2 linked regions of the Astyanax mexicanus genome follow. The protein of the gene in region 1 interacts with the protein of each later gene in a biochemical or structural test. Links are inferred from orthologs where the notes say so. Each region holds a gene or a part of one and is shown in the gene's direction. Other genes may lie near its edges.

The links.
Region 2: the proteins of prkar2aa (region 1) and A-kinase anchor protein 2 form a complex in vitro, tested with the Homo sapiens proteins (2 studies listed by BioGRID, with this or other methods). The link is inferred for Astyanax mexicanus from reciprocal best matches to the Homo sapiens genes PRKAR2A and PALM2AKAP2.

The regions. Positions count from the first base shown.
Region 1 is NC_064419.1:50,097,210-50,105,472, forward strand, and holds the start of prkar2aa (protein kinase, cAMP-dependent, regulatory, type II, alpha A), read left to right. Parts: upstream 1-5,031; 5' UTR 5,032-7,050; coding exon 7,051-7,297; intron 7,298-8,263. UniProt on the Homo sapiens protein: Regulatory subunit of the cAMP-dependent protein kinases involved in cAMP signaling in cells. Type II regulatory chains mediate membrane association by binding to anchoring proteins, including the MAP2 kinase.
Region 2 is NC_064427.1:25,515,833-25,524,080, forward strand, and holds the start of A-kinase anchor protein 2, read left to right. Parts: upstream 1-5,185; 5' UTR 5,186-5,418; coding exon 5,419-5,463; intron 5,464-8,248. UniProt on the Homo sapiens protein: Binds to regulatory subunit (RII) of protein kinase A. May be involved in establishing polarity in signaling systems or in integrating PKA-RII isoforms with downstream effectors to capture, amplify and focus diffuse, trans-cellular signals carried by cAMP.

The DNA.
Region 1 (8,263 bases):
TAATCAATATTTGGTGGAATAATCCTGGTTTTTAATCACAGTTTTTTTTTCATGCATCTTGGCATCATGTTCTCCTCCACCAGTCTTACACACTGCTTTTGGATAACTTTATGCTTTATGCTTCAGTTTGGTGGTTTGATGGTTTGTGATCATCCATCTTCCTCTTGATTATATTCCAGAGGTTTACAATTTGGTAAAATCAAAGAAACTCATCATTTTTAAGTGAAATTTTATTTTTTTCCAGAGCTGTATATAGTAATAATATTTGTATTTTATCCTGTGATAAAATCTCTATCTTATAATAATCACTTACTATTATAATTCTGATCTTTACTGAAGAATCTTTATTTTATTTTAATTCGGTGTAAATGTGTCTCAGTGTGGTTCAGTGTGAACAGTGTGGGGATATCTGCAGTTCTGTAGAATGGCCAGTAGGCGGCGCCCTTAAACCACATTATACCGGTTTGGCTGATCCTTGTCCGCGCGCCCTGCCCGCAGGTACAGGGGGGCTAAAGTAAGTAATAACAGTTATTAATGTCTGTGTTTATTTAATATGTATTTATTTATATAATCTACTGAATGTAAATTATCTCTATTCTGATTGGATGTACAGCTGTGGATCTTCATTCAAAAAATAATCCAGCCTGAAAAACATTTCTACTAAATTTCTTTAGGCTGAATAGAATGATATATGCAAATCCATATCCATAAATATACATATATATTTATTTGATATTTGACATATATCATATATTTGATTTATAAAAATCAAACTAGGAAACAGAAAAATAAAGACTATGGATTCAAATAAACATAATTACAGTATTAATAATTTTATAAATTAATATCCTTATATTAATATAATTATTAAAGTCCTTTATTTGAAATAAAAAGTGAGGGAAATTCAGTTATTGTTTTATGATATGTGGGTTTTTTATTGTTCAGGTACGTTTTCCTGTAATAATAATCTCTCCTGTTCCTCTCGGTACAGAACCGCTCCAGATTCTGACTGATGATCCGCCTCAGATCACTCCAGATCCACCTGACCTTCAGACTCCGGTACAGATTCACCATCCCTCCAGCCCATCCAATCACGGAGGAGTAGAGTAGAGTAGAGTATAATAGGGAGGAGTAGAGTACAATAGAGCACAATAGGGAAGAGTACATTTCAGTAGAATACAGTAGAGTAATGTAGAATATAGCAGAGTAGAGTACAGTAGAGTAAAATAGGGAAGAGTAGAATACAGTAGAATACAGTAGAGTAAAATAGGGAAGAGTAGAGTACAGTAGAATACAGTAGAATACAGTACAGTAGAATACAGTAGAGTAAAATAGGGAAGAGTAGAGTACAGTAGAATACAGTAGAATACAGTACAGTAGAATACAGTAGAGTAAAATAGGGAAGAGTAGAGTACAGTAGAATACAGTAGAATACAGTACAGTAGAATACAGTAGAGTAAAATAGGGAAGAGTAGAGTACAGTAGAATACAGTACAGTAGAGTACAGTAGAGTAAAATAGGGAAGAGTAGAGTACAGTAGAATACAGTAGAATACAGTACAGTAGAATACAGTAGAGTAAAATAGGGAAGAGTAGAGTACAGTAGAATACAGTACAGTAGAGTACAGTTGAGTAAAATAGGGAAGAGTAGAGTACAGTAGAATACAGTAGAGTAAAAAAGGAAAGAGTAGAATACAGTAGAGTAAAATAGGGAAGAGTAGAATACAGTAGAGTAAAATAGGGAAGAGTAGAATACAGTAGAATACAGTAGAGTAGAATAGGAAAGAGTAGAGTACAGTAGAGTAAAATAGGGAAGAGTAGAGGGAAGAGTAGAATACAGTAGAGTAAAAAAGGAAAGAGTAGAATACAGTAGAGTAAAATAGGGAAGAGTAGAGTACAGTAGAATACAGTAGAGTAGAATAGGAAAGAGTAGAGTACAGTAAAGTAATGTAGAGTAGAGCGGAGTAGAATACAATAGAACAGAATAGGGAAGAGTAGAGTACAGTACAGTAGAATACAGTAAAGTATTGTAGAGTAGAGTACAGTAGAATACAGTAAAGTATTGTACAGTAGAGTAATGTAGAGCAGACTAGAATACAGTAGAGTAGAATAGGGAAGAGTAGAGTACAGTAGAGTAGAGGTGAGTAGATTACAGAATATGCTGGAAAAGAATGAAGTAGAATTAAGTACAATAGAAGAAAATAGAACAGAATAGAATACAATAAATAGTAATATTTTGAAATTTAACTTAATGGATCAGAATAGAATAGAATAGCAGTGCAGAAATGCAGTGCAGTGTCTGTGCTGGGTCTGCAGGGGGCGCTGCTGCAGCAGGTGAATGTGTGATCTGGGGATTTGCTGCAGGTTCTGGGTGGATAAGCCTCACCTGTGCCCTGCAGGTAAAGAGCTGAGATTAGAGACACTGCTCTATATTTACAGCAGAGCAGCAACACGACACAGAGAAATCCAACCCCTGCAGAGCACAGCATTACGCACAGAGACCACACAGAGACTCGTACAGGTTTACACTGTCCTCCACCCTGACCACAGCTACACACATATATACATAAATATATAACCTATATTAATTATATACAGAGAAATCCTACCCCTGCAGAGCACAGCTTTACGCACAGAGACGACACAGGGACTCGGACAGGTTTACACTGTCCTACACCCTGACAACAGCTACACGCATATATACATATATATATATATAACCTATATTAATTATATACAGAGAAATCCTACCCCTGCAGAGCACAGCTTTACGCACAGGCACAACACAGAGACTCGTACAGGTTTACACTATCCTCTACCCTGACCACAGCTACACACACATATACATATATATATATAACCTATATAACCTATATTAATTATATACAGAGAAATCCTACCCCTGCAGAGCACAGCTTTACGCACAGGCACCACACAGAGACTCGTACAGGTTTACAGGGATACCGAGCACTGAAACTCTATCCTGCACCCTAACCACAGTTACACTTATATAAATAACATATATATAATATACATACATATATACATACGTACCCTGCACGCTAAAACTAATCACAGTTACAGACACATATATATATACATATATATGAATACATATGTCTTTGACTGCTTTTTAATGCAACGAATACAACAGAATAAAATAAATATAATAAAGTACTATAAAATGTAATGGAAATATTGAGATTATTTTTTAACAATATTGCTCAGCCCTAGAATAAATAATAGCATAGTATTAAATAAAATAGAATAGAATAGAATAGAATAGAATAGAATAGAATAAAAGAAAATGCAATAGAGTAAAGTCAAGTTGATTACATTAGAACATAGTACAAATAGAAGAGAATAGAATAAGATAAAAAAAAGCGAGGAATTAAATAGAATAGAGAATAGAATGGAATGCAATATATTAGATTAGATTACAATAGAAGATAATGCAATGCAATGGCATAAAATAGAGTAGAACTGAATAGAATTAATCAGAACAAGAGAAAAGATAAATATTATGTAGTTATTTTATTATATATCCCCTTCAGGTTTTATTTATTTATTTATAGCTTCATGTTCTGGAGATATCTTATCTCCTCGCTGTTCCTGCACTCTGCTTGATTGATGCAGAACATGAACTGAGATTAGTGCGTGCTGTTTACCTGCTGCTGTCCTGGTTCTCCAGGTGAGCAGTAGTTACCTGCCCTGCTGCACAGGTGTGGTTTTCAGCACGCGCTGGCTGGAATGCAGCGCTGACGTTGTTTCAGCCTGTTGGGTCACACGGTGCAGCGCGAGCTGTCACTTTATCACCCGCCTCTAAATTCCACACGGACACGCCCCGCCCTCGGGTTGCTGCGCTGTGATTGGTTAGTCCGGCTGCCAATCAAAGCCTCCTTGCCGTTGAAGCCACGCCCCCATTGCGCTGCATAACATAACAGGAGTAACATAAATAAATAGGCATTCGTTTACCATTTTAGTATAGTGTTTTCCTGAGGAAAAAACGCATTTTTTGTACCTTTCCATAACTTATATTTTTACTTACTTACTTATTTATCTTTAATATATTTACTATAATGTTACATGGCATATCAACATCCAATACAATGAGTCGTAAAAAGACATACAAAGTGCAAATACATTAATAAAAATATGTATATGTGCAAGAATATGGAAAGAAGTATATTTTGCTTTTTATATTCTCACTATATCCTTATATTATTTTTGTTATTTTTGATTAATCGTGAAGAAGATCTCCTTCCCTGCATGTTTTGGGAGCTTCCTCGCCCTAAAACACCTAATTCAAATTATTATCAGCCTGTTATCAAAAGTCAAGCTTTAAAGCTTCCAAAAAAATATTTTTCACTATTATCTTGTGTCTCTTGTCACAAGTATACTTTGTTATACTTTATATTTAGTGTCTCTCGTTCTTTTATTATTCATAATTTTATCTTGCTGTACTTGCTGTAACTTTGGGAAGGAGGGTAACGTAATTTCAAATCCTCTGTATGTCCTGTACATATGCAGTGCTGACAATAAAACTACTTGACTTGGCTTAATGCAAACTACTAAAAAAAATAGGAATCGACTAGAATATTATAGTATATAAATGCACAACATTTCTCCCAAATTCCAAATAAACATATTGTTATTTAGAGCAAGAAAACAAGTTCATATTCATAAAGTTTTAAGAGTTCAGAAATCAATATTTGGTGGAATAACCCTGGTTTTAATCACAGTTTTCAGGCATCTTGACATCATGTTCTCCTCCACCAGTCTTACACACTGCTTTTGTGTTTGATGGCTTGTGATCATCCATCTTCCTCTTGATTATATTCAATTTTAAGTGCCAATATTTTGTTATTTCAGAATGATGGGTCATACTGTGGGTGAACCTACATCTAAATTCCTCACGGACACGCCCCCTCTCGGCTTACCGTGCTATGATTGGTCTGTTGGGCTGTCAATCAACAAACAAAGGCGCTTGCGTTGACGCTACTGTTGAGGCCACGCCCCCAAAGCGCGGCTCGCTGGCTGGCTCGCTCGTGGAGTGGAAGGAGAGAGCGCGCCTCGACGAGAGGCAGAAACCGGGGGGATACGATTAAAAAATCGTAGAAATAATCGATTTCGGGGGGATTTGATTATTCGTAGGGATTTGTTCCAGTTGGACGGGAGCTCTGAGGAGAGGAGAAGGAGGATTGACACAGAGGGGAAAGTTTTTTCGCTGTTTTTCGGGTTTTTTTGGGGGGGCTCACCGGGCCATCAGTGCTGGGCTGGTGCTGGGGCTGGTAGTTGGTTGGTTGGCTGGTTTGCTGTGGGCGACCTGTTGTGTGCAGCTAGTTAGCTAACTAGCTTAGCTGTGGGTTATTTTTGTCTGTGTGTTGGTTTGTTTTAATGTTTAATGCTGGAGAACTGGCCTTCTACTGAGGACAAGCGAGCTTAATCTCACCACCCTGCTGTCCCCACCCCTCCCCACTTATCTCTCTCTCTCTCTCTCTCTCTACCTCTCTCTCTTTCTAGCTATCTTTCTCTCACCCTCTCTCTCTTTCTAGCTATCTCTCTAACAGCAGCTAGCTTAGCCTGGTCATTTATCTATCTATCTATCTGTCTGTCTATCAAAATAACAAGCAGAATAATAGCATAGGTTAGCTATACAGCTAACTAATAAGCTCTGGTGGCTTCTTGAGTAAGGCAGTAATCAGCAGGCAGGCAGAGAGACAGTCTTAGCTTGCTAGCAAAGCCTAGCTTAGCTAAGCTAACTTAATACAACACCGCTAACTACCTCCCTCTCTGTCTCTCTAACCTTCTTAGCTTTCTATGCTGAGCTTTTAGCTATCTCTTCTCACGTCAAAGACAGGGTAGCCTCTTCTTTTCCAGTTTATACCTGGCGTTAGCTACCTGGACGGACGTCAAACGAGCAGAAAGCTAACTTAGCTACAGGACTGAACACCCGTCAGAAGATCTGCACAACCTCCTGGATTTAGGAGTTAGCCAACTAGCTAAGCTAACTAGGCTAAACTCAGTCAGATTGATTAGCTATCTATCTATATATCTTTCTATCTATCTTTCTGTTCATCAACAGCTTAGCTAGTTTGGCTAGTTAACTTCTGTCTTCACCCCAAATTAAATCAGTCTACAGCGAATTATTTTTATATCTAGCTAAATTAGTGAGCTAGTTAGCCAGCTAACTGCTATAACTGCTAGGTACCTAGGTTAGTTGGTACTGGAAATTAACGCGAGCTAGTTTAGCTAACGCTAACTAAGCTAAGCTAATTAGCGCTAACCCTACAGCTAGTCTCCTCTCCTGCTAGCTGCTTCTTCTTCTTATTTTTCTCTTCCTCAGATCTATCTTTCTATTCCTCCTTAAATTCTTTTTACCTCCTAAACGAAAGAGTCTACAGATAGTTGATTTATCGATTAGCTCGCTGTTGAATTTAGTTGGTACTGATCTTTTTTTATCAGCATTATTAACGTTAGCTAAATACATTACCTATCTGTCCAGCTAGCTAAGCTAACTAGCTCGGAAATATCTAGGAAGGAGAAAGCAAGGCTGGGCAATTTGTTAAGCGATATTTTTAAGTTTTTGTCTGCTTTATTTCTTTGGGACAGGTTTACAAAACATTAGCCAGAGGTTGTCAAACTTTTTTGAGGCACAAAAAAGCTTAACTTCAGATTGCTAAGCAAGTTCAAACTACTAACGTTAAACTAGGACGTTGTTTCTCCTTGAAAGTGTGTTTTTGTGAGTTTTTGAGCTTTTTTGTACTAACTACTTCTTGGCACTTTCTGCTGCCCACTTGTTTAATAACAAGTTATTAAAGTTATACACACTGGTGGGCAGATTTTGTCAATTTCTGACATTAAAGGTTTTACAGTACTCGTCCAAGGCCCGTCCACTAGCTGGTAAATAACTGACTCTAGCTAGGTTAATTACATGGACTGATAAAAGAGAAGTTTATTATTTATATTTTTGTACGATCCGCTCCAGAAATTCTCTATATAAATATATTCTAAGTTAGTTAGGTATCAGGATACTAAGCACCGCACAGCCATGAGTATTGAGATCCCGGTGGGTCTGACCGAGCTGCTGCAGGGCTACACCGTGGAGGTGCTCCGCCAGCGGCCGCCGGATCTGGTGGAGTTCGCCGTGCAGTATTTCACCCGCCTGCGGGACACCAGGAGCCAGGACGGGTCCGGAGCCGCAGCTAAAGGCAAGGGGGTGATGTTCGATGGAGAGCCGATGCAGACGGAGTCTAACGGGGATGAAGACGACGAGGACGACGATTCTGACTTCGAGCGTAAGTAACTCACCTAATGAAATACGATGTGAAATACAGCGCTTTTAACCGATGCTCCCAACAGGTTTACAACTGGGGTTGGATATATATGGCCCTAAAATAATGATACTAGTCAAGAATCAAGAGGCTTTTATTGTCATTACATTTGAGTACAGGTACACAGTGTAGTGAAATTTCGTTCCTCCGGAACCATGGTGCAACATGGAACAACAAGCAATAGACAACATAAAGTGCAGGAGTGACGACAACAGTGCAACATAAAACTAGAACACTAAATAACAAAAAATACAGGACGAGACAATTTAAAAGACTGGACATTATTAGACATTATAAAGACAATATTACTACTAATAATGCACTTCTCCAAATATCTCCATATATCCAAGATTAAAGTAAAATAAATGATACTGGACAGATATAATCTGTCTCTAGTAGATATATAATTGGAAATGAGAACAGTGTAAAATGTTCTTTTGCTAAAAACTGTAATTATAACGATAATTTTAACGTGGTGGTGCCTGGACAACTACCTGATGGGTAGAATACTTTTGCACGTCAAACTTTTCAGATTTTTGTTTGATTAAAATTTCGGAAACATTGTATGATTTTCATTCCAATTTACAATTATGTGCTACTTTGTGTTGGTCTATCACTTAAAATCTCAGTAAAATAAAATACATTTAAATAAGTGTAAGGTGACAAAATGTGAAAGTTCAAGGGGTATGAGTACTTTTGCAAGCCACTGTACATTCTTGGTTACATCTTTTGCACCCTTTTGAATCTGTGTACCACCTAGCAACACACTAACAACCACTTTATTTATCATGTAACAACAAGTCAACATCAACACAGGACGTTACAGTAATAACGTATCAACAACTTAGCAACCAACATGGATACCTCAGCAACCACTTAAAGAAAATAAGTAGAAGATATCATTCCATTTGATGTCTACTGTAATTCTAA
Region 2 (8,248 bases), on another chromosome or scaffold:
GTACCCACCCAATAAAAGCAAAATAAATTTTGCTTTCTCAGGGCTCTGGTAGCCGATGGCAAGCTACATCAACAGGATTCGAACCGGCGATCTTCTGATCATAGTGGCAGCTCTTTATTCTGCAGAAACACTCAAAGCCCCCACACCCTGTGACCATTAAGCACCTCTATACACCACAATCATCTATAATCAGCAGAGTAACCTTCTTGTAAACAGTTAGCAACACTATAACAACCATTTGGGATATCATAGCAACCACCTAACAACTCCCTAGCAACCCATATAGCAACAAATGGAGATACTATAGTAACTAGCTACCAGTCAAACATGCATCTTTTAATGGCAACAAAATCAAACTACAGTTTGCACAGTATTGCTGCTGTCCAATTAAAATCATGTACCTTATCTACATTTATGTTATTGTAGCTGCTCTGTACACTGTGTAAATTATCCAGGATGAATTGACCAATAGAACATTTTAAGCACATGCTTGCCTTTCTCAATAAAGTCCCTATTTTGTATGTATTTGTTACATACATACATACTCATAAACACTACAACAGTCAGTCAAGTGTTCTAATAACCGCCTGCTTAATGCAGAAATGTCATTTTTTCTGTATTTAATGTGTTGATAAGCGATGCTACCAGAAGTGTTTGAGAGTTTGGAGTTTGTTGAATGTGGTTCATTATTACTGACCTATTGACAGCTATTATCTGAAGTGGTTCTAGCTGGTGAGTAACATCAATCTAATAAATATTGGAGGAGCTCTAGTACTGCGATTGAGTGCTGTGTTATTAAATGCTCCAGCTGTCATTACCATAATAGAGTTTGGAGCTGGAGGATGCTTCAGAGAATGCTGCACTGAATCACCTCCGCATTGCAAAAAAACCTGCGCTGATAATGACTGGCATGTTGGGATTTTACCATCTTTGCAGGCTCTTTATAAAGTGTATGATTGTGTAGCTTAGCTGTGGTAATGTGGTAAAAAAAAAAAAAATCAATTGCTCCACTGAAAAACACACCCAAGATTAATTAAAGAATTAGTACATGCCTTTTATGCATTTCAAGCTGCAGAAGGTGTACTTTTTCACCCTCATTATACCAAAGACAAACCGGCACACCCTAAATCAGGGTTCCCGTGGGTCCTTGAAAAGTCTTAAAATGTCTTTTATTAATTAAAATCTGGATAATTAAGGTTTTAAACTGTCTTCAATTCACTGTAAATTTGCTGTAGGTATTAAAAGACGGTTTATTTAATGGCTGTGGGAAAGCACATATGCTAACATTAGTGATGAGTTACTAGGGAGAGAACTAAGGTTAGAGGAGAGCTAGCTAACAGTAGCCACGAGTTAGCTAATGTTACTGGGGACAGAACACAGGTTAGCATTTAGCTAGCTAACATTAGCCGTGAGCTAGCTAACGATACTGGGGAAAGAACACAGGTTAGCATTGCGTTAGCTAAAATTAGCCGTGAGCAAGTTAATGTTACTGGGGAGATAACTAATGTTAGCATTAAGCTAGCTGAACATTAGAGGTGCGCTGGCTAACGTTTCCGGGGAGAGAACTAAGGTTAGCGTAGAGCTTTGTTTTATCATTTATATAAAAAAGAACATTTCCTTTTAGATGCAAACAGTTTTACACATATTGTACACATATTTAAAAAATATATTTCCACTTCTTTGCTAATACATGTGCACATACGCATTTGTGTCCAATAAATGATGCTTAAAAATATGCATACAATAAATATGTACGCATAGTTATATGACATATATTCCCAATATAACTCCTTTGTCACACAAGTCCATCAGATCTCCAAATGGGAAAACTAGGCCTATGAATGATGCATTGGGGGATAAAAGCAATCCCTTCCTTTTCTTTAGTACAATATAAAGAAAAAAAACATACTCTACTGCACTACATTTCTGTCAGAATTCTGTCCAGTGCATTTCTGTCTGTTCCCCCGAGCTTTCCTCACGCAAACAGCGCTCCAGACTCGGCCGCTCTTAGCTCAGCCTTTTCCCCATATAAGGACTTTTTGTATCCCTCCACCGGGGAGAGTTGAACAGGAGGTTGGACGGGGGAAAGGGGCCAGTAGGACCCCCTGCTCCTTCTGCCAGTGGCCCCCCTTTGCTCCACGACAGCAGCAGCGAAAAATGGAGCTCGGCAAACACACCGGAGCTGCTGAAAGGTGTCGTGTGCAGCTGTGAGAGAGTGGAGGTAGCTGTGAAAGAGAGTCATTGGCAGCGTTTCAGTTCATATTCACAGTAAATATGGATGACTAATGTCTGCAGAGCTAAACCCTTAAACCCAAGGATCCTTCACCTCAGTTCACTTAGCTACAGAACTTGCATAGCTAACAGTTTAAGAGCTACAGAACATCTCACAGCAGTGATCCATCCATATTCTGCTCGATGACAAGGAGGAGGCCATGTTTGTTTACCATGTGTTAGATCTTAATTGGTGACCTAAGCTCTCTCCAGATGGGATTAGTTTCTCAGGGGGACATCTGTGTAAAATATTTCACACCTCTACTCAGTGATTTAACTCTTGCACTCTGGACTGCAATTGAAAAACAGGAGGACCAGTGAGTTTTTTGGCTTTCTCGGTCACATGACATCGCGTTCAGTAGCTCCTCCATTTCCACTCGCTGTTGCACTCGCACTCGCTGCTGCGTGGATCTCCATGGAAACGTGTGCTCAAAGTGTAATTACGTTGCGTGACAGTGGACAAATAGCTGTTTTATTAAATGCAAGGTTCTGAAACTCAGAGATGTGAGTCCTGGCGGGACTAAAATTACCGGAGGACCACAGAGTTTAGTGAAAAAAAGTGGATAATTCAGCCTGTAATTTTCTCAGAAGATCCCCCATAAAAGAGAAAATTATCCCAGGACCCCCTGAGAAAATAATCCTATCCGGATAACACAATATAAACATTATCAAGGTCTTGAGAAATTCCATTTATCTTACTAGTGCTATCTCAAAAAGCACTATAGTGAAACTCATATATTATATAGATGTATTACACACAGAGTGATCTATTTTAAGTGTTGATTTCTTTTATTTTTGATTATTGTGGCTTACAGCCAATTGAAACCCAAAAATGAGTATCTCAGAAAATGAGAATATTATATAAGACCAATTGGTACTATTGCCAGTGTGGGCAGTGTGCCTGGAAAAGTCCTGCTGGAAAATGAAATCTGCATCTCCATAAAAGTTGTTCTCCGCAGAGGGAAGCATGAAGTGCTGTAAGATTTTTCAGGAAAACACTGCACTGACTTTAGACTTGATAGAACACAGTGGATCAACACCAGCAGAGGACATGTCTCACAAAATTATCACTGATCATCAGTAAATTTTTTATTTCATTTGGTGATGGTTTGGAGAGACATGTCATCTGCTGGTGTTGATCCACTGTGTTCTATCAAGTCTAAAGTCAGTGCAGAGTTTTCCCAAAAAATCTTAGTCTTACACTTCATGCTTCCCTCTGCTGAGAACAACTTTTATGGAGATGCGGAATTAATTTTCATGTTGATATGTTTAAAACAATATATTTTTATATTTTAATGTATTGACATCCATCATTTGTCTGCAGGTACATAACAGCTGGAGGGATTGTACAGTTAGGCAGAGTTATCACATGACTGACTCTGATAAACAGCATAGAGAGCAGCTTCTGAATATCCCAGGTGCATGACACGCCCCTTTCTAAGTCCCAGCAGACCCCCCCCTCCCACTATCTCTCTTCCACTTTCTCCCTCTTTCTTGTTCTCTATCTCTTTCTTCCTCTCCTTCACTCCTTTAGGTTCTTATCATTATGTTTATATGTAAATACATACGTTTATTCATCTGGATTGAAGAAATATAAATGTCCCTATTTTAGCGCATTGGTCAGTTACTCTTCGTGTAAAAGTCATGTACTAATTCTCTTAATTAAAGGAGAACTCCAGTGTAAAATTTACTTTGGGTGTAGTAAAACATGATAAAGAGTATTAACTTTTGTTGAATAGCCCACCTCCATTCTCATGCAGCTTTTTGAGATTCAGGAATTTTTTACAGTTTACAAACGTGCTTTAAAATGGATGGTATGGGGCATATTTGGCCCATGAAGATACATGGCTTTTTACACCGTTATCCAGGCTCAAACCACAGTTTACAACCCATAATCTTTTACCTTTACCTTAAGATGGCAGCGCCCGGAGATTAGATTATGCTATGGGTTTTAAACAGTGGTTTTTAATAAGCTGCTTGAGCAGTTTTAAAGTTCTTAATGCCTCGTTTTAAATGTCAGGGCCCTGCAAATTCTACCAGTAAGGTGTGGAGCTACTTTGAGCATGGACAACAGTGTAAAAAACAATTTATCTCCAGGGGCAAATATGCCCCATATCAAAAAATCTAAAACATGTTTGGACAAACTGTAAAATATTACTGGATCTCAGAAAGCTGTGGGAGAGCGGAGGTGTGCTATTCAACAAAGATTTGTACTCTTTATCATGTTTTACTACACCCAAAGTCAATTTTACACCTTTAATCATGTTTTCCTTTAATAATGGGTGTGTATTGGGCGTAACGTGAACTAAATCAATCAGTGTGTCACTTGCCATTCCTTTAAGAGGCAGGTGAGCTCTGACTGGAGATATATTCCAACTCCAACCGTTAATCTATTGTCGTGGCGTGAACATATGAAAATGGGCTGTTGACGGGGTGTAAGATAGCAATAAGCATCTTGACGCTCCTTGCGCAGGATGTACGATAGAGCCCGAAGAATGATAAAAGCCTGCACAGCTTCCTTTATTATCACAGAATTTAGAAATATGCTTTATACCTCTTTCCTGTTTTATATCTCTCTTTCTCTTTCTTTTGCTCTCTCTCTCTCTCTCTCTCTCTCTCTTTATCTGTCTCTAGGTGTGTTGGTTGGTTGGTGTGTTATCCTTTCCCTCCTCCTTAGTGACAGATCTTCCTGTCTCCTAGCAGCTCTGTGTGAAACGTCGGGAGTCTCTTCCTCTCTCTCTCACTTTCTCCCTCTCTCTTTCTCTCTCTCTCTCTTTCTCTCTCTCTCTGTGCTTCCCTCCTCCCAGCTGCTTCTGCTGCTGCACATACATGGCCTGTGACTGCGAGGGAGGGAGGTGGGAGGAGAGAAAGAGAGAAAGAGAGAGAGAGAGAGAGAGAGAGAGAGAGAGGCAGTCTGGCAGGCACATGGCCAGTGAATGAGAAGAACTTGCCCTCAGCACACAGTCAGTCTTACTGGATTGGAGCGGTGTGTGATTGAGTGAGGGAGTGTGTGTGTGTGTGCGCCTCCATCAGTACCTAACCTACTGCCCTCACCCTCACACACACTCTTACACACTCGCTGGGACAGTGTACTGGGACGGTGTACCGGGACGCTGTATCTGAGACGTCTACCTTTGTTTTTCCAGGATGGCCGAGGCCGAACTTCACAAAGAGAGGCTTCAAGCTTTGGCGGTAAGTTTTCTTTTGCTCTTCTGTTAAAAACACACTGCTCTGAAGACCCTGGCAAAGATCTGATCATGAATTAAACTCAACTATAGCTTTCTGTTGGACTGCTGCTGGGAATATACTGGAGAAGAACTGACATCTTCTGGATAGAGCAGATCAAGTTTTTCTATGAGTATACTGAAGATTATTTGCTGTCTACTGTAGAAAACTGTAGTAAAATAAGTTAGTTTCATCTGAAAGTTCTTGGATTTTTTTCTGTTGTGAATACACTGGTGATAATCTGACTATTGTCTACTGCAGATCACCATGGGTTCATCTCTTTTGAAGGTTTCTCCTGGACTTTTGCTGTAAATATAATAAAGATTAACACTAACATTTCCTGCAAAAAACGATGGGTTAGTTACTTTTGGATGTTTTTTATGGAGATAATCTGACATCTACTGTAGGTAGAACCATGGTTTAGTCTATGGAGATATTTTGACAACTACTGTAGAGAACCACAGGTTAGTCTCCTCTGAAGCTTTCTTTTGGACTTTTGTTGTGGTTTTGATCAAGATAATTTGACATTTCCTGCAAAAAAAAATATGCTTCAGACTCTTTTGGTGGTTTCTTATAGGGGTGTTCTACTAGAGAACTCTACTAGAGATAATAGAGATAATAGAGATAATCTGACATCTCTTGCAGAAAACAATGGGCTAGTCACTTCTGGATGTTTTGTATAGAGATAATCTGACATCTACTGTATGGCAGAACCATGGGTTGGTCTCTTTTAAAGGTGATGACACTGGAGATAACGTAAAAACAACAAAAAAAACATTGGTTCATCTGTTTTCAAGGTTCTTTCTGGACTTTTACTGTGAGTATGATGAAATATTTTCTACTGTGTCTACTGTATCTGTGGTTATGTTCTGTAAAGAACCACAGGTTAGTCTCTTCTGCGGGTTTCTCCTGTACTTTTGCTGTGAATGTGATCAAGATAATCTGACATTTATGCTTTAGTCTCTTTTCGAGGTTTCTTATGGAGGTATTCGGACATCTACTGTAGCTAGAACCACAGGTTAGTCTTCTTTGAAGGTTTCTCCTGGATGTTTGTTGGAAATACAGTGGAGATAATGTTGAGCACCATGGGTTAGTCTCTTTAGAAGGTTTCTCTTGGACTTTTTCTGGGAATAGAGTGGATATAATCTGACAACTACTGTAGGTAGAACCATGAGTTAGTCTCTTTTAAGGTTTCTTCTGGACTTAATATCATATCTACTGTAGGTAGAGCCATGGGTTCGTCTCTTTAGAAGGTTAACCTTGGACATTTGGTGTGATGACACTGGAGATAATGTAAAAAAAAAAACATGGGTTCATCTGTTTTAGAGGTTCTGTCTGGACTTTTACTGTGAGTATGATGGAGATATTTTTGAAAAAATACACGGGTTGTCTCTTCTGAAGGTTTCTCCTGTACTTTTGCTGTGAATGTGATCAAGATAATCTGACATTTCCTGCTGAAAACTATGGATTAGTCTCTTTTCGAGGTTTCTTATGGAGGTATTCGGACATCTACTGTAGCTAGAACCATAGGTTAGTCTTCTTTGAAGGTTTCTCCTGGATGTTTGTTGGGAATACAGTGGAGATAATGTTGAGCACCATGGGTTAGTCTCTTTAGAAGGTTTCTCTTGGACTTTTTCTATCAAAAGAGTGAATATAATCTGATATCTACTGTAGGTAGAACCATGAGTTAGTCTCTTTTAATGTTTCTTCTGGACTTAATCTGATATCTTTGGTAGAGAACCATGGGTTAGTCTCTTTAGAAGGTTTCTCCTGGACTTTTGCTGTAAATGCCCATGAGAAAATGTAAGAAACCTAGAGTTAGTCACCTTTGAATATTTTAGGGAATCATATGATAATATTTTTTTGAAAACACTGCAGATAATCTGGCATCTTCTGCAGGTGGAGCCATGTGTTTGTATCTTTTTTCGAGGTTTCTTCTGGATTCAAAGCCAAACTAGAGCTGGTGGGTTTGTTGAGTAGGCGCAAGCACCTCTGCTGTGTTTCTTCTCGTTCTGAAAAATGCACTCTATGAGCTAGAGTCCAGCAGTGGCAATCTAGCGTAGCTGAGAGAGGCTAATTTTGGCAGCATCTACAGGACTTCAGTGAACATTGGAGGGGGAGCAACAGATGGGGAAGTGTTCTGGCAGCGGCTCTGGCATCTTAGCCATTCTATGGTGTACATTTCTCAAACAGAGGTGGCAGAAATGTTGACATGGCCTCGGAGAAGCATATGTATGGGAGTGTATTGCTGTATACTGTAATATAACATCTTAGTTGGCTAAAGAAAATCCTTATGTTGGATTTGGCCTTTAGTAGCTGATAATAACCTGAAATAATTGGGAGGGAAGTACAGATGTTGACAGTACTGTCAAAAGTACAGATTCTAAACTTTTTTAGATGATATTATAGTTGTGTTCGACCCAAAATAAACTTTTATGGCATTGTTCAAAAATACAAAATAAAGGGCATTTACTGAATACGATAGCACTTCTGAAGGAAATTCATGACTAGTATAGCAATACTTGATAAGAATAGCACTGGTAAAGTGTGTATATGACTAGAATTGCACTGCTGGAGTATGTATATAACTAGAACAGCACTACTGAAGTACATTTGTGACTATACTAGCACTGCTGAAGTAAATATATGACTAAAAAAAATCATTGCTGAAGTAAGTTTATGACGAATAACACTATATATATATATATATATATATATATATATATATATATATATATATATATATATATAT